Linked DNA regions of Drosophila melanogaster. The protein of the gene in region 1 interacts with the protein of each later gene in a pairwise test. Each region holds a gene or a part of one and is shown in the gene's direction. Other genes may lie near its edges.

Region 1 (4,720 bases):
CCCAGATTGCGCATGCCAGTGTATCCAGGACCAGCAACAGGCTGCAGCTCACTTTCGCTCTCCGTAAGCGCCGTCCACTCGCCGATGCGCTGGTTAATGTCCAACTCTAGCTCCACCATCGACTTCTCGCTCTTCTTCATCGCCGCCATGTTGATGCCAAAGTGGGAGAGATGGCGCTCTAAGTGTGGATCGAGTACCATTTCATCCTCCGGGTAGGAGAACACATCCGACTTGCCATCAGCGGTGATGGTGCCCAGTTTCACCGCCAGCGGGAAACCCGTTACTCTGTAGTGCTCCACGGCGTGATCGTTGCCGCCACTGCCGTCAAAGAACTTGCGTCCGCACATGATCGAACCATCGGTCAGATTAAGCCAGAGGTTGTTGGTCAAGTCGCACTTCTCGCACTGCCAGCCGGATGGGGGAATCCTCTTGCCATTATCCAGCTGCTGCAGGTTATCTGCGTACTTCGACGCCTGACGCACTTCACCATCCCAGGTGCCTGAAAAATTATTGATTTTAGGCTACCTTCGTCAGCATGGGATAACAATCCTGCAACTCACCCATCAGCGTGGCCTTCTCCAACTTGGCAATTGCCGAGTCGGCGGCCAGGATCGCTTCCACCGACTGGGTGACACGCATGGGCAGCTCTGGATCCGGATAGGGCAGCTTCTTATCCAGGTGCGGAGCCACCACGATGCTGTACGTGTCCTTGATCTCGTACTTCTTGGCCATGTCCGACTCGTTGTAGCCGCCCTCGACGCCAATGGCCAGGCGGGTGATCTTCCGTTCCGGTCCTGCCTCCGACTCCGCGCATTCGGCCTCCATGTCGGCGCCCTCCTTGATCGTCTTCACCCGCTGGATGTGGAGGAAGACCCGGTTGCCGGTCTTGTCGGCATACTCCCGCACATACGCCTCGCCGAAGCCCAAAAAGCTGTGCAGGCACACGTACAAACCGGTGGGCGTCTCGGGATTGTCATAGGAGTAGACGCACTCGTCCTTGTAGATGGGAGGACTGCCCGCCCCGGATGCGCATGGCACGTTCACCTTGGATAAATGCTTGCGTAGTTCCTCCATAACGGTATCTGGAATCCTGTAGGCAGCTCTTTTCTCATAAACTTTACGGACCGAATGTAAAATAGTATAGTTGATTTTTTTTGCAGCTGCTGCTTAGAGATGAACATGGGAAAATGCATCGATACCGGCGAGCATGGATATGCGAATATCGATGGGTTGAAATGGTGTTTTACTGGTTGAAATCAGCTTTTAACAATTCTTACCCTTATTTTTGTACCTTATAACGGCTTTTGAGTGATATTTACGTATTTGGCCGCCCAATAAGCACAATTAGTTTAATTTGACTGCTGCAGGCTATCGTTGTTTATTCAATACTGTCATCTCTAGCCAAAGCCAACAACAAATTCGCGAGTCACCAAGGGAACCGAACTGGTTCCGTTAAGTACGAACAATGCGGGGAAAGTGTGGCAACGCCGATTGTGATTCATCAGATGTATAACCGAAGTCAACATTTTAAAACAACAATTCAAATGTTAACCATTTAAATACAATAAACAAATTATTTTAAAATTTGGGACAATCTTTAACAATTGGGATACTAGTTTTGATCTAGGACTGGTCACACTATTAAGCGACCTGTCAACTCGTTGTATACAAAGTTGCCATATAGTCACAAAAATCTTTCGCATAAAGAAGTAAAACGTAAGAATTTTCATATGCGTTTTTCGCCAGGAAATCCGCATTAAAATAATGTAAAAAGTGGTAAAAAAGTTGGCGCAAAGAGTGAGCCAGTCAAAGGCATTGAAATTCAGCTCGCTCTAACAGTTTTCGGCGTTGTTTTGCCCCTCGCATAAATTTGTTGCGCGCCATTTTGTTTTTGGAAAGCAAAAGAAAAAGAAGAAATACAACAGCAAAAACCTACCACAAAAAGTCAAAGTTTGTAAAAGCGATAAAAAGCAAGAGGAAAAGGAATTCTGTGGGGGGAAAAGCGAGTGAATAACATGTGGCGGCTTGGCTAGTTCGAGCATCATCTTTGTGCCTCTAAAAGACATACGAAAATAACGCGCGACATGCACATAAATAAATACGACTGAAACACTGAAAACTGAAAATATCGATACGATGAATAAACGAAGAAGCAGCGATTAGTACGTCGTCGGCGGTCGTCTGTGTGGGTGAGAGAGTGAGGAAGACGGGAATGGGGAAGGCGATTAAGTGCGAAAGAGATGGAGGAGCGCGGGGCGCGTATATAATTACGTCATAAGAATTAAAGAAAATTCAAGGTCTACAGCACTGCGGCTATACAAAAAGCTATACGATTTCGTTACGTTCTCGGTTTTATCAAAAATAAAACTTTGGCCAGTGAGCAGCAACAACAACAAGTATGGCTGTTGTGTTCCAGTGTGTGTGTGTGTTGTGTTTCATTTTCGCGACTGTATAATTACATACACACGCAGTCCCGCCGATGTTGTTGTTTCTGTTTGATTTTTTATTGTAAGCGAGAAGAGCGCGCAGCTGTGAAAAGCAGATGAGAGAGAGAGAGGAAGAAAGCGAGAGAGTGGAATTTGTTGTTGAGCAATTTGTGTAACCATCGATAATGTTTGATTTATTTAAACCCCATTTTTATTACCCCTTTTTGCAGTGACTCGCGATGCGTGCGGCATAGAAGTCGTCGCCCCCCAAAAAACCGTGATCCCGACCCCCCACACGCACACACACATGTACAGACTGCGATTGTTCATAAATTTAAATTGATTAAAAGTCGGAGCGAAAAAGTAAAGCGAACAAAACACCGGAAAGCAAGGAAAATTAATAAAAATCAATAGAGGCGAGCGGGAGGCGATAAAAAGTGTTATCAGTGCGAATTAATTGGCTACGAAGAAGGAAAGAAGCAGGAGGCGGAGGAGCGGGAGCAGGAGGAGGAGGTTGCTCCGGAGATTGAGGTTTAGGGAGCTCCAAATCCGCATCCCGGACGCGGATCCGGACCCCTCGACATCATGTCCGTGCAGCAGTTCTGCCTGCGGTGGAACAACCACCAGCCGAACTTCATCTCCGTGTGCTCCTCGCTGCTGCACAATGGCACCCTGGTGGACGTCACCCTGGCAGCCGAGGGTCGCCAACTACAGGCCCACAAAATAGTGCTATCCGCCTGCAGCTCGTACTTTCAGGTAAGTTGGAGATCGCCGCAGCGTATATCCCTTACGAATTACACTCAAATGTGTTCGACAGGCTTTGTTCACCACAAATCCGTGCCAACATCCCATTGTCATCCTGAAGGACGTGCAGTACGATGACCTAAAGACCATGGTGGACTTTATGTACTACGGCGAGGTAAATGTGTCGCAGGAGCAGCTGCCGCACATCCTCAAGACCGCCGAGATGCTCAAGATCAAAGGCCTAGCGGAGATGCCAACGGATCCGGCCAATCTTACCAAGTCGGATAGCAAGTCCTCCACCGACGGCACCGAGATGGTGGGCGGTGCGGGAGTGGGCACTGGAGCGGGCAACTCGGCTGGCAGCCTGGGAGCCGGCAGTGGAAGCAGCGTCGGCGACTCCCTGTGGAGCAGCAGCGAGGCCCAACAGTTCCAGCAGCAGCAGCAACAGCAGGCCCAGCAACAGGCACAGCAGCAGCACCATCACCACCAGCAGCAGCAGCAGTTGCAGCAGCAACAACAACAGGCGCAGCAGCAGCAACAACAGCAGCAGCACCATCACCACCACCATCAGCAGCAGCAGAGCGGACAGGCGCAGGCGGCGCAGACGCATCACCACCAGATGCGACGTACGCCGTCGCCTTTGAGCGCTGGAACCTCGCCGGCCACCAGGCGCAAGCGCTTGCGCAAATCCTCGAATAACGGTGAGTTGGAGTTGGGTAAAGCATCGTCGTGATAGATCCAAAATTGTAAGGTCTCAAAAAATAACCGGTTTTCGTAATAACGCAGGTTCTGGCGATCGCAACAACGCGGAGGAGCAGCACAACAGCTCACTGGACGCGGGCAGTGGTGCCGGCAACGCCGGTCTCAGTCTCGCCCAGATGAACCAGATGACATTTGGTGCGGGCGGCGGCTTGGCCGGCCACTCACTGCACGCGGCTAAGCTGCTCAAGGAGTCGGCCAGCGCTGAGCTAGAGCAGCAGCCGCAGGACTCGGATCTTGACGATGGACACGGACACTTACACATGCAAATTGTAATGAAATTGGTCACGTTAACCTTGTACCCTCGTCCGCATGAGCAAAGTCACTAATTGTTTTCTTTTTCTTCTCGGTGCCCACGTGCAGAAGCCCGAAGTCGACATTGGCGGCGTGAACCAAACGATGCCCTTGGACATCTCCGGCGGTACCACACCATCCGAGCACGATGCGCCGAACTCCCAGTCCTCGCACTCGGGTAAGTCGCAATTGGAAATCAAAAGCCAGCACACTGTTCCATCAAAGCTCATTGTTCATCGGGTAGGGATCTCATTCGCCAGGTTGGATTCTTTTTTTTTATCGTTTCTTAGTTTTGTTTGCCTTGATTACTTTAAAAAACACAAATCACGGACAACTTAACTGCAATTCGTAGTCAAAAGAAAGCTGACACACTATAGACTAAGCAGGAGTCAAGAGGGAAAACGTGTATAGATCAGAAATGACTTGACTTTTTTGAAACGAGCATGACTGAAAGAACATAGCTTTACAATGTTGGTATCATTTGCGAACTGACTAGG
Region 2 (4,037 bases), on another chromosome or scaffold:
ACGAGGCCGCTGGAGGAACTGACTCAACATCCACGTTGCCGAATCCACGAGCTAACTGCCGTCCCAGTGACGAACCTAACACCCAAACTGCGCCTGCTCTTCAAGGCCTTTTGGCAGACGCTCAGTCTGCTGATGGCTCTCATCTCCATTGGCCGTCCCAGCTTCCTACTCGTCCAGAATCCGCCCGGCATTCCCACGCTGATTGTGTGCTATCTGTACTGTGCGGTCACACGAACCAAGCTGGCCATCGATTGGCACAACTACACGTACACAGTGCTGGCATTGGGAATGTCGAAGGGAGAGCAGAGTCCTCTAATACGATTGGTTAGGCGACTGGAGCGATACTTCGGCTCCAAGGCACACACACACTTCTGTGTGACGCGGGCCATGCAAGAGGATCTGCAGCAAAACTGGGGCATTGGGTAAGTCCTCATCACATCCATCTAAACGAAGTAAATAACTCAGCCGCGACTCATCTTTCAGGCCTGTCAAAGTTCTGTATGATCGTGCGCCCGCGCAATTCCATCCCATCGACTTGACTCACAAGCACGAGCTGTACCTGAAGCTGGCCAAAGACTACCCACAGTTCCAGGCCAAGGACGCCGAACAATCCGATGTTCTGGAGGCCACCGCTCTTACCCAAAAGCTGGCCAGCGGTGTTGTGCAGTACAGACCACAGCGACAAGCCGTGCTGGTTTCCAGCACCAGTTGGACGCCGGACGAGGACTTCGGTATACTGCTTAAGGCTTTGCAAGCTTACGAGGAGACTGCGCAAGCAGAGCCGTTGGTTTATCCTTCCCTGCTGTGTATCATCACCGGAAAGGGGCCACAAAAGGAGCACTATGTGGCGGAGATCGAGAAGCTGCAATGGCAGAAGGTGTCGGTGATCACGCCCTGGCTAGAGATCGAGGACTACCCCACTGTTCTGGCCAGCGCCGACCTGGGCGTGTGTCTGCACTGGAGCACCAGTGGGCTCGACCTGCCCATGAAGGTGGTCGACATGTTCGGCAGCGGGCTGCCTGTCTGCGCCTACGATTTCAAGTGGTAACTAATCCTGCCATTTACTATTATTACTTACTAACTTCTACAAATGGCTCTTTAGCCTGGATGAGCTGGTGAAGCACGGCGAGAATGGCTTCGTGTTTGGCGACCATGTTCAGCTGGCCGAGCAGCTGAGGATTTGGTTCGAAAATTTTCCAAAGAATCCCAGCATCCTGGAGACAAGAGCTGGTTTTCAGCGCAAAATCCAGGAGTTCCAGGAGCTGCGATGGCGGGAGAGTTGGCGCCTGATCGCGGCCCCCGTACTGGAGGCATTTCTATAGAGCATTTTGACAAAGATTTGACAATTACACGTTATGAGAGACTTCCTTTGATTGCTAATCGCTTTTTCTAGGCTAGTTACTACAAATTCTGTACACAAAAGAGCTTCAAACTTGCTTATGATGCTTATTTTATTTTTATAATCGTAGCCTAAAGATAAAAATAAATTGCTAAAAAAAGGAGATATATACAACTATTTATTCGCTTGTAAAGCGTGTTTTCTTAGGAGTATTATGTATTTCAATTAAAAAAGAAAATTCACGGGATGCAGTGCCGATTTTTTTTTATTTGAACACCAATATCGATAGTCTGAAATAAACATCGATATATCGGAAAATTTTAAAAACATCAATGTTTGACACCTCTAGTTGCGGACAACGGTCACACTTCAAAACCAAACCGGCTGCGCAAAAATTACTATAATTTGTAATTAAAATTAATCAATTTTATTTAGTTTCGAAAGAATGAGCACCGAGTGTCGGATCTGCGGCGAGCGCATCTTCACGCCGCACCCAAAGAACATCTTCGAGAAGCGCAATCATCGCATTCGGATGGCCATCGAGCAAATCACGGGCTTAGAGGTGGCGTCCCTTTTATTTGTTGTCCGGAATTATTCATAATCTATGCATTTCCAGATCGTTTTAGAGAATATGCTGCCCCAGCACATATGCGCTTGTTGTCTCCTGGACCTGACCCAAGCCGTAGCCTTCAGGCAGCGATGCCTGGAGACGCACGCAAATCTCCACCAGAGGATCTCCTCGAAGGCGGGTGTCGCCTCAAAAGGCTCCCCGGAGGTTTCGCCAGTGCTTAGTGATCCGCTGCTGAAACGGGAGGTGCTGGATGATACAGTAGACACCGAGGACGATAAGGAGCTACTGGACGATGATAAGGATTTAATGGATGATGATAAGGATTTCTTGGAGGACGAAAAGCCGATTTTAAGATATCCTCCGGCCAAAAAAATCCGGATCGAGGACCAAAATTTCCCGAACAGACAGTCCCCACGAGTCAGGGTCAAGCGGCTTCGTGTGCCTGTGGTCGAGAAGGCAGATAGTCCACCGCCACCTCCGCGGGAGCACGTCCGAAAGCCCAGAAAGCGGCGACCAAAACCCAAGGTCGATCGCTCGATAAAGCGATACGTGTGCGACCAGTGCGGTTGGTCGTTCAACGATCACAGCAACATGAAGGATCACAAGCTGCGGCACTTCGAGGAGAAGTTTTCATGCGACGAGTGCGGTCGCAAGTTCTACACCATGCCACTGCTCCGATTGCACATTCGAGTCCATCACAAGGGCGAGAAACCGTACGTCTGCAAGTTCTGCGGTATGGGATTCGCCAATAGTCCCAGCCGCTGTCGTCATGAACGGTGAGTGCTGGCCTAATCATCACAAGTCCTTATCTATATAAACCATAAAAACCTTGACAGTCAAATGCATGCCAACGAGCTGGTGCACCCGTGCAAAATATGCGGCAAACGATTCAACAGCGAGAAGGGACGGCTGAAGCACGAGGAGGGGCACAAGAGTGACCAACCGGATGTCCATATGTAAGAATCATTGAAATATACGTAGCCATAGATGTACAAACTCATATTCTTTCACAGCTGCCTCACATGCAACAAGGAGTTCAAGGAGGCGCAGTTTTTGCATCGGCACTACTCCACAAAGTATCACCGCAAGCGGGTCAACTTGCTGGTTAATGGTCCAAAAGAGGAATTCCAGTCTGAAGTCGATCCGGCGGAGTTTCCGGGATATATGGAAGAGGGGCAGGCAGAAATGGAGGACAACCAGGCTGAACTGGACGTAATGTTAGATAACATTGACGAGGAACAATATGAGGACCACGAGGTACTTCAGGATGAGGACGCAAATTTTGAGGACTTCGAGTACGAGGAAGCCATTCCCGATGGAGAGGAGCTGTACACCTAACTTTAAGCACACAAAAAAAATCGACTGTTGGCGCCACACACTCCACACTCCACACGCCACAATGCCAGGGATGCAAACTATCTGACTTTTTCGGTGGTTCAGAGAAATCCTTTGAATCACCAGCCAGCCGTACGATTAGCACCAGTGTGGAAGGAATTCAACGTCGGTCTTAGATTACAATTTGTTATAAAATATATTTTATTCTAATTGCACAGCGCGCTTATTTTAATAAAAATTATATGGAACCAATTTCAAAAACGTCAGGAATTAGCCGAACGTGTGTTTTAGCTTGAACCTCTCTTTTTGGGAAAATTTAACCTCCCGTTTATAATATATAAATTTTAAATTATAAAAACTAGCTCGATGTTCCCTGGTTTCTAGGAAATAAGAACAGTTAGTTTTTCCACACCTATCTGGTAACGCCATGAAACAGGTAATTCATACAAATTTTGCTGCTTAGAGAGAGTAAACAGAAATTCTCGGATTGCGTACGCTCTTTTACCGTTTTTATTCCATAATTGACAACATAAAATCAATTAAACTACAGCTGATTGTTTTGGGAATTCAGCGGGATAAATGATCATATGTTTGAAATGAAAAAGCCTTCGCAATGCCATTTGTGCGCCTCGTGTTTCTGTCACCTGAATCCCACGATAATTTTTTGCCTGGAAGTTCTGGCCAAGATCAAGGATCTCACTGGAATATGGGTATGTTGATGGTTTCTTGTGTGCGTGAATGGCATAACCCATTTACTCCATTTACAGTTAGAACAGAATGAACGCCAGCCGC
Region 3 (4,791 bases), on another chromosome or scaffold:
GTGTAGTAATAGTAAGTAGTTAGTATGTTGGTTCGCATATATGTATATATATATATATATATATATATATATATATATATATATATATATATATATATATATATATATAGTTTTAGAAAGTAGTAGTTAGTTCATCCGGCTCGGCGGCTTAAAGTTCTTGTAAGTAGATGGGTTTGTTACGCTTGCGTTTGCCAGGAGTAGTTGCCACTACTTGTATATGTGTATAATATATGGTATCAATAACGCAATACCACCAGCTACGGTTTGTGCCCACAACATTGGTTTCTTTCCCTAACAACATTGAAATGGAGGTGGTGTCTGACTAACATGTTCGCTATGGTTTCGGGACGTGGCCGTTGTGCATATTTAACTCTTGAGCAGATTGTTGGCGCGCTTGTTCACGCCGTCCATGCGAATGTTGTTGGCATCGCCCTTGGCATTGATGCGATCAACCTGTTTGTTTTGGTTCTCCAGCTCGGAGCCCATGTCCAGGGCCATGTTGCGCAGGTTGCCCAGCATCGAGTTCACCTGCCCGAGATTCTCGTCCATCTCATCCTCACGCGCATCGTTCGTGATCCTGGCCACATAGCCGGACTGCGGTGGTGCACCCATGCCGCCGCGTTCCCGCTCATCAATGACCCTTTGCGGCTGGCTGGCCACGATTTTGCCATCGTCATTGGCCTTCCAGGCGCTCTCACCGTCGTCCTTGATGTTCACCTTCTTCCACGGCAGCACACAGATGCCACAGCACTTTTCCATGCCACTCAAGTTCTTCTCCGCCTCCCTCATGTCCGCGTTGATCCGGTCCATGCCCTCCTCAATGCGGTCCAACTGCTCGCCCTGGTCATCCAGGGCCACCAGCGTGCGGATTCCAGCCTCCTTGCTTTCGTCCATGAGGGCGAGCATCCGACGCGTGCTCTCCAGGGATTCATCGGCCACCTGTCCGGACTTGAACTGCAGCTCCTGGAGCTCAGTGCGCGGCTCGGCATTCTCCACGGCGGCCATTTCGGAACTATCTATCTGGTGAGATCACTTGAACTTGAGCTTGGCAAGTGGTTGAGAGGCAAGACGGCTGTCTTGTTTTTTTTTTGGGTGGGGAAATCTGGCCAGTGACTCACTCGCGCGAGATGAAAAACTACCCTTGGTGCTGGTTCGGTGTGTGAACTCGGTGGATATGTAATTGGGGCGGGGATGAGCTCGTTTGTGCTCCGTACGTAGGAACTTATTGCCAAGGTTTAATAATTTATTTGCGAAAGTATGAATTTTCACACCACACAACAATTCGCCAATTTGTATACTAGAGCTGCAAAAAAATCGATGTTAGTATCGATGTCGTTTTCGATAGGCGATTTTTACGTGTGTTCACACTGTTTAATATTGCATTTAGGCTTAGTTCGCAACAAGTACAATTAAAGAAATTATGCAAAACAAGCTGCAAACTATTTACGAAACAGGGCTTGCTTACGTTTTACTATTAAATCTGAGTTTAAAAGTTTAATATTGCATTTAGGCTTAGTTCGCAACAAGTACAATTAAAGAAATTAAGCAAAACAAGCTGCAAACTATTTACGAAAGAGGGCTTTCTTACATTTTACTATTAAATCTGAGTTTAAAAGTCGATTTACCATGCATAAACTAATAATCCAGTCTGATATTACACTTTTATCTAAGACATGAACCCTGTTCGAGTCTGATAAAACACAATTATTTTATGTTTTCAAAAATATTTCCCATCTAGTCACTGTAACCTTTCAATTCGTCGTGTGCCGAAAAAATTAGATTTATTTCTACAAAGTCTCCTACGCGTTAACATCAATTTGAAAGTAGTGAAGAATTTATAGTTTTTTCAATACTTTTCATAATTTAAAGCCGCGCATTCCCATCGGCGCCGTTGCTATCTTCATTGCGCGCGCAGTGTTGAAAAGTGTGTTTGAAATATTAACGCTTTGTTTTTTCGGTACAGCGTCGGTCTTCAGCTGCTCGAATTTTTGCTTAATTGCTTGTATTTATTAATTTGGGAATTCCTCGTGGCCAATTGGGAATAGCATATACTTAACCATGGACGATTCGCGCAGAACTATGGCCGGCAAGGCAAGTGTTTGGTGGTTTCAGTTGGTGTTGCTTCCATTTGCCGGGAAAAGACTTCCGAACATTATCCCATTTTCATTGCTAAAACAATAGTTTCACTTCCAGCAGATCGATTCCCGTAGCTCATCGATAATGACAAACGATGAGAGCGTCTCCATGTATTTATCCTTTGACGCGGAGGACACCCTGTCCAATGCCAAGTGGCAGTCGGCCCTGGTCACCCAGAACAGCCAGTTCCTGGAGGTGCACAACAGCAAGGTGGAGGTAAACACCGATGATAAGGACCTAAGGCGCACTATCCTAAAGGATCTGCATCAGTTGACCATTGGGGAACCGGACCAGAATTCTCCTCTGCGCCCATTTGACAAAAGTATTCTTAACCGGCACAACGCCTTGTGCTCCACTCCCTCCAAGGGCAATATTTCGACCGAAACGCAGACACCACAGATCATGGAGAGCATAGATCTGACCCAAATTGACGACAAGGAAAACACACAACCGGAGGGGTGTGGCGGCGATAACTCGACCTTGTCCAGTTCAGTGGACGTGACCGCCAATACGGTTAAGGCCAATACCCTAAAAACAGGGGATGCTACCATGGACAATGTATCCTTGCAGGAGGCTGCCAAGACCCCAGCTCCCAGCCAAGTCTATCCCTTGAGTGCGAACGTAGTTTTAGAGAATATAACTGAAGGTAGGTTTATACTATTGAGATATGGTTTCGTTCTATAAACATCTACATTTACAGTATCCAACGAAGGAGTATCCATGCTGGTCTCGCCAGCCGGAGCCGAAAAGGAGGTCGCCCATGTCAACGAGGTAGTGAACGAAGTCTCTGAGCTAATTGCCAAAGCTCTAAAGATCTCCGCTGATTCTGTGAAGCCAGCGACCTCCAAATTAAAAGTGGAGGCGGGCAAGAAGAGGCAGTCCATGAGCTCCACTTATTCGGGTGCCGCCCTACCGCGCCCTCGGCGCTCCTATCTGCCCACCACCACCGCAGAGACGCGAACGTACTCCTTCAAGCAGCGCATGTCGGTGGTGGTCAAGACAACGCTCAACAGCCCAGCTCGCAAGCGGAGTGTCGGTGGCGGTGTGTCACTAAGCCGTCGCAGCTGCTTGCCCGTCTCCAAGCTAACAAAGAGCAGCATAAGAAAGTCGCTCGCTGTGACCAGCGTGCGTTCGCCTGAGAAGATCGCCTCAAAGCCGGCTAAGACATCGACAAAAAGCATTCCGGAGAAAGTTTTTAGCTGCAAGAATTGCAGCACAACCTTTCGGGTGAAGTCACTTCTTGACGTGCATATGCGAATGCACGATCCGGTTGACAACGGAGCCAATACCCTTAAGCGTCTGAACAGCAATCCGGTTGCAGCGGGAGTCTCGAAGAATCGCTGCAAGTTTTGCGATAAGAATTTCGCACTGGAACGTGCCTTGCACATCCATTTAATGCAGAACTGCGACAAGATACCGCCGTCCGAGAAGCGCAAGCTGGAGTTCACCGAGCTGAACCACGAGAAGAAAGCCCAGCTGCCAAAGATCGGTGGCACCAGTGGCATTAACCATCCCATGACGATGCCCCAGAAGCCACAGCAACGCATTAGTACTATTCCCAAATTAGGTAACTATTGATTGAACAGCACGCGTTCTTAGAGAGAAATTATTACAAACCCAATTCACAGCTCCCTCACAAGGAACCCAGTCCATGGCTCCACCGAGCGTGAAAAAAATTCCCAAGAATGTGGCGCATGCCGGCGTCTACCGCACTCCCACAAAGACTGTGCCCTGCCACATCTGCAAGCAGTCGTTTAGGAGCATACTCGAGTTCACAAACCACAGCCTGACGGTGCATGGAAACAACCAGCTTAAGAAGATGACCGGCAGAGAGGATGCACAGAGTGCCCACGATTAAATTAAGCGATTCGTGTGTAGCCTAGTCTATGTCTAAGTTAAGTGCTGTGGCGTAGCTGTGGTCCGGTAACGGCGCGTTGTGAACAGATCGCCGGGCAGCTGTGAGTTAGCAATGCCTGGCATTTCGAGCGCTTCTAACTCAATGTTTCGGTTACTCGAATGCTTATTAATTGTACACTTCAGCTGCACGACTGGACTGCTTTGTGAATTTTTTAGGTTTTCGTATGACATTCACACAAAAATAACTATCGTAGTCTAAATGACAGTAATTACATTATATTCTAGGTTACTAAAAACTATTTTAGTTTTGAATTTTGTGTTTTCTTTTTTTTTTTGTTAAGGTTATTGATTGTTGTTCTTAATTGTTTTCTCACGGAACAAAAATTGCGTTTTAAAATTTGAATATTTAAATGGTCACTAGTTAGAGCCACTTTAAAAAAAAATAGTTGGCAGTACTAGCAAAAGTAGATTTCGCTGCTTTTCGCTGAGCGTTGGTTTGGCCAGTGGAAATGCAGGCAGCATTCAGCGCCTTTTATGCAGCTGCCAAAGGACTCGGACTAATATGTATGTACGTTTTTTGAGGGTGCACCTGCATTCACATAATCACTTGCTCTTCTTTTCGGGCGGTGGCTTCATGTCCACACCCTCGGTTTTGATATCTAGCGGTCCTGTGGCATTGTTCATTTCGGAGGCATTTCTCGCTGTGTTCAGATCATCGCCCGCTGGTGGCGGCTGCTGGAGATTCTGCAGCATGGGCGGTATTGGTGGGGGAAATTTACGCAAAAGCTCTGCCAGCAG
Region 4 (7,403 bases), on another chromosome or scaffold:
TAGCTCCATGCCGAGAATGACAGGTAGAAATACCTATATGTGTATGTGCGCATGTACAAATGCATATGTGTTTTCAGGTATCGAATCGATATCCATTTTAATTAAATATATATTGCTATTTTTATTTCGGTAAGTTCTTTTTCAGAAGCCAAATCAGTGTAACTCGATTTGTGCATGTTCGTCAACACCATGTTGTCCGCAAAATACTTCTTCTGACTTGATCTTTGGTGAAAAGCACATATCTACATATGTAGAAGCCAAACTGACTTCATGTACTTAGAGCCCGTCCTCATACAGAAGCCAAATCAGTAACCGCAACTTTACCTAATTTTAAAAAAAATCTTTGCAAATGATTCCGAAGTAATTCTAGCTGGGGCGTACGGAAAAAATGGTTTACTTTTAAAGGAACAGATCAAATTTCGCCGACACGTACACGAACCATTTTTGGAAGTCCAGCATTCTTATCCTTGAACTTCCAGCTTGACAAAGGCTTGATCGCGACCTAAACGGCGGTAGCGGAGGACTGCTCAGGTTGCTACACTGGAGATTGTGAAGTCTGGGGTCTGTCCAATCGAAGAAAACAGGTTAGGCCGCAGCCCAATCGCATACTTTAAAAGCAGAACAAGTCTCTAAAAAAACGAAAGTCATCATTCAAAAAGCATTTCGCGCGACAGACTCAAACTCGTGCCCAGTGTACATCTGCTAAGGATATCAGACAAAAAGACGAAAAGAACCCTAATGATATTAGGGAACTGGCTCTTGCATTCATTCCAGCGGCAAGTTTTTTGTTGTGCGGCGTTCGAAAGAATGATCAGCAAATTTAAACTTTTTCCTAGAACTGATCTTTTTTTTATCCAAAACGTAAGGAGGTATTCATCCTGACTTAAATAAATTTCCAAATACAAGCATATACATATATACATACATAAATATAAAAGAAGCCATGATAATCCAACTTACAAAATTATGACGAGTTCTGTTTAAAAAAATACATACGTATCAAATAAAATATTTGTAAACTATCTAAGAAACTGACCATTCTATGCCTAAAAATCGAACAGCTTGTGCAATACTAAAATTAAATGTTGACATTATTAAGACCGTTGCTTTTACTTTCTTCGCCAGTGCCATCCGCAGATGAAATACATACTAATACATATTTTATCACGTATGCACAAATGAAATTGACGCTGGTATATGCGTTGTGTCCAGCAGCAATGTTGCAAGAAGAATAAACTGTTTTAATAAAGTCCTGATTATGATAGAGGCTTTAACAGCCTTATAAGTCAAACTTTGCAAAATGGAGAGCAGCCGAAATTAATTAATCTTACCTAATTCAATGGCATTTAAGATCTTTTTCTGTCCAAAATATTGAATGTATATTCATCCCGATAAGTTTACAAAAAGTCAAAAGACATTTTGTCATTGAAACATAAGTAAGGCCGCAGAAAAGTAATACTTGCAATCAATAAGTTGAATACAAATTTTTTCTAGTCGCAAATCTCAAGCGAGCGAATATTTTCATTCATAAAACTAATAATGTGGTAGTCAAACATGTTCGACAGCGAACCGATCCAGCGGTTCGTACCACAGTGCTGGCAGGTCTTTCTGCCTAATATTTCTGGTGCCAATAAGTTCAGAGGCCTAGCAAACTTAGCTGTTCAAAATTTTGCTTTAAAGTATTTATATATTTCTTGTAAAGATAAATACTTTATTTCTTATTAAGCATATAATTTACTTATGGAAGAAATATATTTTCTGGCTAAGGGCGCAATTTTTTTCAAGCCATACACACATTAGGACAACGGACTCTAAAAAAACTGAATGGTCAACACTGATAACCAAACGCAGTTCGACCGCGTGCTGCTTTTAGCATGAAGCCAGCCGGTCCCTGGCGCAGGCCATTTCAATCCGCAAGATATTTTCAATCCGTCAGATACTTTCGTTGTGAACAGTCGTGCTCCGGTCAGAAGATTTTACGAGAAATCGTGAAAATAAAAAGTTCTAATAAGTTGAAGATAGTGCCAAAGCTCACATACGGCTTAACCAAACCACAAATTAAAAAAGTGCCTTTAAACAATACGTGACATTTCAATAGGTTTATGTTAACATAAAGCCCGTAATTGTGAATAAATAAAATATAAGCCCACAAAACTATTCAAATACCGTTTTCGGATACGCGCTACTTTTAAAGTTCTTGAATGTCCTTCGCGGCTATGGCGAATACCAACACAGAAAAACTTTACATGCAACTAAGCGCATCGGAATTATCAGCAATTATTATGAAAGGTGGGTATTTACCTTTTGCACGAGCAAAGGACACTGCACCTGTTGCCTGCGAATTGTGCGGCACCTGCAAATACTTACATAAATATACACACCTACATACATAGGTTTTTTATGTCTTGCAGTCGGATGATTATAATCATTTCCCGCAAAATATTTGTCGACAATAATTTGTCAAATAGCTGTATATTCATTTTTGTAATCGAAACCCAAAAAGAACGAATACAATCATTAAGGCAAGGAGGCTATGGCCCAAGGCTATGCAATAGACACTGAAGATAATTGACGACCAACATTGTTAATAGGGGGTGCTGCCGTGTGCACCCAGAAAGCCCCACCAACTAACACGTTGCAGCAGAATCATATTAGCAGCAGACTTGTGAGGATGGCAATTAAGATGCAGACAGATACGTAAATAAAGCCAACTATGTGTCGCCAGCGTACTCCAACTTTCGTCTTGTGTTGCATATGTCGGCCAAGCACTTTGCCCGCAATGGCGAATTTGGGACGACGATGTCGCCAGACATATTGGCAATTTGTCTGTTTGTGAAGCTGGAGCGACAGTTGGACTCTGCATTGTGTGTCCCTTTTCACCACCGCCTGCTGATTGTTATAATGTTCGAGGACAGACGTTAACTCCTTCCATATTGTTGGTACTGTTTACGTCAGCATTTCATAAAATCGATTTTATTTTTTGTTTCTGTGATCATTTATTTAAAATGCTAGTCTTAATCAGCAACGTTTCGAAATGATTAGTCTAGATGGCCATTGGTTTGGATAGAATAAGGTGTCTTTAATTTAAATTGATCACTATGAGTTTATAAAAATTCCACTTATATTATTTTACTACATAACGCAATGTAGTAACAGGAAAGCCGAATGATATTGGGTTCGTTTTATAACCAACGTAAAAATGTCCTTACCAAGTGTGTCAAAGTACTGCATGATCTGGATGTGTTCTTACGATTCATTCATAAAAGTGATGCGTCATTTTACTACAATATATTTCATATAGTCGCTATAACATATTTACATTTATGTACGTATGAGTATATGCACTTGTTATGATAAGACGAGGCTTCCCACACAGGGAACGCTTCCCAGTGGACCGACCGCCAGCCAAAAGCCGCCTATGATGATAACCTTTCGTTGACTTTTGGCGTGAATATGGGATTTTCTTATGCCTCTGACAGTTAATGTCTGCCGTTTTTAAGTAGGTTTTAGCTGATTTTCGCAGGAGGGCATTCATTCTTAGAAAAAAAGGCCAATAACGGGAAAACCGTTGTCAATTTCTGAGCAAAACTTGCTATTTTGTACTTGGCACCTAAAGACGGATCAGATCCATAAAAAATAAACTAATTTGGGCGTACAAAAAACATCTTAAAATATTCTTAATATAAACAATCGAGAATAATACCTTCTTCCGTGTATACTAAAAATAAAATAAAATGTGCAGGTATTGCCCTTTGGTCGTTAGATGTAACTTTAAGTGTCTGATACGGACAACTTAAATATAAATTGGTAGAAATTTATTTTTTAAAAACTTGGCAAGCTTTAAAAATGTTTCCGTTTGGCACAGGTGTTTTAAACTAGACGACGCCTGCGAGGACGGTGGCTTAAAAGTAAACATTTGTCTAAATATAAATTAAAATGCGGTATATAAACCACGCAAGACATGGGATAGAGTTAGGGCTATAAAACTGATGTTATTTGTACAGCCTGATTTCGTGGCCGCAATGTCAGTCAGTTGCTTTGAATTTCGTTTCGTTGTTTATCTGCCTAAAATTAGAAAAGATAGCAGAATATTGTGCTTATAAATAGTTGAATAAACATGCAAAAAGCTTACCTTCCGTAAATGTGTGTCCGCACCGGTTCAAACAAACAGGGAATAAATTTACTCATTCTTAGCCAACTTAGCTTAAGTAATTAATTTAAAATTAATAACAAGTAATTATTGTATGTATGATTGCTGACAAACATATACATATATATAATGGATAGGCTGATAACACAATAATTGATTACAAAAAAAATTAGCTGTTGAAGACAAAGTTTTTTTTTGCTTAAATACCGGAATACTTATAAATATCCTAGCAGATTCTATACCTTTATACTTTGCTGGCACAACCAAAGTTGAAATCGCAAACAAATTCGATCCATGTATGTATGCTCGTTTATATGCATTGTGATTTTTTTTTAAATTGCTAACCGGGTTGTTGGCTTCTGATGCAGTGGCTGCTTCATGCTGAACTTGAACTGGCTTTATTCGCCAGACTTGAAATAAATTACTTTTAACAAGTAAGCTGCGTTTCGGCACTTCAATACTTGTGGAGGTCAGTGGTAAATTAAGAAACCTGTTTTGTTTTCGTGATCAATGCATAATTTCACTTTATATAATGGACTTTCTTCTCATGTAACCTCCGATTTGAATGTATTAAATAGATTTCATAGGGTGGAAGAACATATTATAGATAAGAAAATACGTCAAAACTACGTCATCCAATTAGTTTCGATCAGATGGTAATAAAAAATAGTAACTAAAGATTTGGGATTTATTGAATTTTGAAAAGTCGAAGGGGTGTCACACAAAGGCAGTCGCAGCCCTATTCGGCTTGCTGGCCTGTTCCGCGAAAACGGGGGTTTTTTTAAATTTACGAATACGAAATGCCAAACATTAGTAACCGGTTCGGCGTAATACGTCACAGATAGAAGATAACTAACTCTTAAATTTTTTGGTATTTTTAGATTCACCCAATTCCAACGACCGTGATGCGGGTTTTTGTTCCGCCAGTTCGGAAAGCGAAGGCGGAGACGACTTGGTCGTCGAGCACGCGCGCAGTGGCAGTCCCGACATCAGACCAAAAGGAACAGACTCGGCGGACTCCAAGCCAATAGCCCTTGTCCGCAACAAACGCAAGAGTTCGGAACCCTTCAAAGTCGTAGGTTTGACGACTCCCAACTCTAAATCCATGCCTGGTCCTCCGTCCAGTGCGAGTATGAATGCAACTGGTCCGCTAAAGAAACGCATACGATACACATCTTCCGCCGATTCGGCAGTTGTCCTAACGCCACCAGCCATAGACTCTCCACCGCCCAACAGTTGCATACCTTCCACGTTGCGCCTGCAGCATGAAATAATGCCTAATCCGGCACATATATATGTTCGCCATCCGGGAGTTACGACTCTTCACAGATCGCTTGCTGCCCACCCAGAACAGCTGGAACCACTCGCATTAGTAACGACCAAAAAGCAATGTGTCGACCAAGCGGGGCCTAAAATAGAGGCCTTTTCCGCATTGCTAATTGGAAAACAGCCATCCGCCAAAAAAACGTTGAAGGAAAGGACGCAAAAAGAATCAACGTCATCTTCCTTTTTAGAAGCTAGTCTTAGCGATGAGGATCTGAACAAGACGGGATTGGCACCAATTTCGCGACCTCATCAACATCAACGCAATTACAAGAATATGACTAGGGAGCGCCGCATTGAGGCGAACGCACGTGAACGGACCCGTGTACACACCATATCCGCCGCCTACGAAACGCTCCGCCAAGCTGTTCCAGCCTATGCCAGCACTCAAAAACTTTCCAAACTCTCCGTTCTTCGGGTAGCGTGTTCCTATATACTAACCTTAAGTAGAATGGCTGGCGAGGATTACAGCGCCGATCAATCCGTACCGTCCATTGCCACGTGCTTAGAAGCTGTAACATCAACCATCCAAACGGAGGGAAAAGTGAAACGAAAGAAAGACGAGTAATCTGTCCAGTTTCGTGGATAACTTACTTTTTTAGACTTTAAATGCGACTGATTTCTGCTATTTTTTTAAATATTTGTGCTTAAGCTTAGATTAATCTGCATACAGCATTCCTATCCACATGCTTTGATTCTTTGCCAGAAGTGGCCTAATAGCTTTAAAAGTTTTCAAGGCTTTGTTAGATATACAGACTTCATGAGTTTAAAAAAAAAATTTTTAAGTATGCCTGCATACAATTTGTATTTGATATTGACATTGTTATGAATAAATACTAGCGATGTGATCATAATTTAATCTCTACCTACAGAAACATTTTAGTCAGTACAAAAAGTCAACGCCATCTATGTACGAGTGTATAAAAAGACAATAATCGGCATCCTTAAAACCTATGTAAATGACAATAATGTAAACTATATATTTACCTAAAAAAGTTTCAGTTTCTTGTTTCAAACAGGATTTTTATATCAATTTACAAGTTTTTAAAAGAAGCTTTGCCAAAATGTTGTAATTTCACCATCAACTTTAGTTACCTTAGGACTGAATATGAAAATGTATATTTTTTTACATGTACCTCTATAATAAGATCAATTCTTCTTTTACGAATTGCATACAACAGAGATAATCAGTAGTAATTAAAAATCCGTAGTTACGAAATTAAATAAAGAATTTAACAAATTTCAGTTTATGTAAGTAACTGTAGACGTTTCCTCTTCAATTGTAATCTCATTGTTTTGTATACATTGATATATTTGTACCCATGTATACATTCATAAGTGTACGTGCCATAGAATCAGGAAATACACAAAACTTACTATAAAGAGAATGTATTTTTATATAGAGTTGGGATTTCAGGTGGTCGCGGTTAAAATATTAGTCATCTGGGTGCAAGCGCACTAAAGGAAACCATATAGAAATGACGGCTTTAAGGGTTATTTTATGTCTGTACGTTAAACAATCTTATCGTTTGCAACAAGCTATTTCGTGATATTAAAAACTCAACAGGTGCGCAAAGAACGGCACGCTATCGATTTAAGTACACCTGAACGCATCCACGTTATCGTAACGAGTTTTGGCAAAACTTAGTCCCCTTATCAGGTTCGGAAATATATTTGTCAGCTTATCTAGCAGGCACAAAGTTTACCAATATCACAGTAAGTTGACAGTGCATTAGAACTCATGACGTACTCTGAAAGAACTCAACACTATTAACTATGCATATTATTAACAAAGTAACTGCATCTAGTTGACCCAGTGCAATATCCAGAACAAATTACATCAGCTAAGAATCCTATAGAAAACAGGTTAAAAACAGCAATTTCCGATCAGTACATATATAATGACTTGAGCATTGGCGTTATTCAACAA

What was found.
Region 2: the proteins of BtbVII (region 1) and Odj interact in a two-hybrid assay, tested with the Drosophila melanogaster proteins (one large-scale study listed by BioGRID).
Region 3: the proteins of BtbVII (region 1) and CG8478 interact in a two-hybrid assay, tested with the Drosophila melanogaster proteins (one large-scale study listed by BioGRID).
Region 4: the proteins of BtbVII (region 1) and net interact in a two-hybrid assay, tested with the Drosophila melanogaster proteins (one large-scale study listed by BioGRID).

The regions. Positions count from the first base shown.
Region 1 is NT_037436.4:3,146,972-3,151,691, forward strand, and holds the start of BtbVII (BTB-protein-VII), read left to right. Parts: upstream 1-1,674; 5' UTR 1,675-1,716; intron 1,717-1,728; exon of another isoform or gene 1,729-1,766; intron 1,767-1,930; exon of another isoform or gene 1,931-1,950; intron 1,951-2,161; exon of another isoform or gene 2,162-2,189; intron 2,190-2,656; 5' UTR 2,657-3,011; coding exon 3,012-3,182; intron 3,183-3,243; coding exon 3,244-3,871; coding exon of another isoform or gene 3,872-3,886; intron 3,887-3,956; coding exon 3,957-4,201; coding exon of another isoform or gene 4,202-4,213; intron 4,214-4,292; coding exon 4,293-4,401; intron 4,402-4,720. Other genes in the region: Usp5 (ubiquitin specific protease 5), read right to left, coding at 1-499, 561-1,074.
Region 2 is NT_033777.3:17,806,865-17,810,901, reverse strand, and holds Odj (oddjob), read left to right. Parts: upstream 1-1,679; 5' UTR 1,680-1,784; coding exon 1,785-1,901; intron 1,902-1,955; coding exon 1,956-2,686; intron 2,687-2,746; coding exon 2,747-2,866; intron 2,867-2,923; coding exon 2,924-3,248; 3' UTR 3,249-3,495; downstream 3,496-4,037. Other genes in the region: Alg1 (ALG1, chitobiosyldiphosphodolichol beta-mannosyltransferase), read left to right, coding at 1-422, 484-1,044, 1,103-1,322; CG17801 (uncharacterized protein), read left to right, coding at 3,833-3,955, 4,013-4,037.
Region 3 is NT_033777.3:9,761,845-9,766,635, forward strand, and holds CG8478 (uncharacterized protein), read left to right. Parts: upstream 1-1,909; 5' UTR 1,910-2,058; coding exon 2,059-2,091; intron 2,092-2,181; coding exon 2,182-2,782; intron 2,783-2,836; coding exon 2,837-3,703; intron 3,704-3,764; coding exon 3,765-3,994; 3' UTR 3,995-4,291; downstream 4,292-4,791. Other genes in the region: Snap24 (Synaptosomal-associated protein 24kDa), read right to left, coding at 367-1,005; MED6 (mediator complex subunit 6), read right to left, coding at 4,597-4,791.
Region 4 is NT_033779.5:81,906-89,308, reverse strand, and holds net (net), read left to right. Parts: upstream 1-1,921; 5' UTR 1,922-2,216; coding exon 2,217-2,289; intron 2,290-5,031; coding exon 5,032-6,041; 3' UTR 6,042-6,888; downstream 6,889-7,403.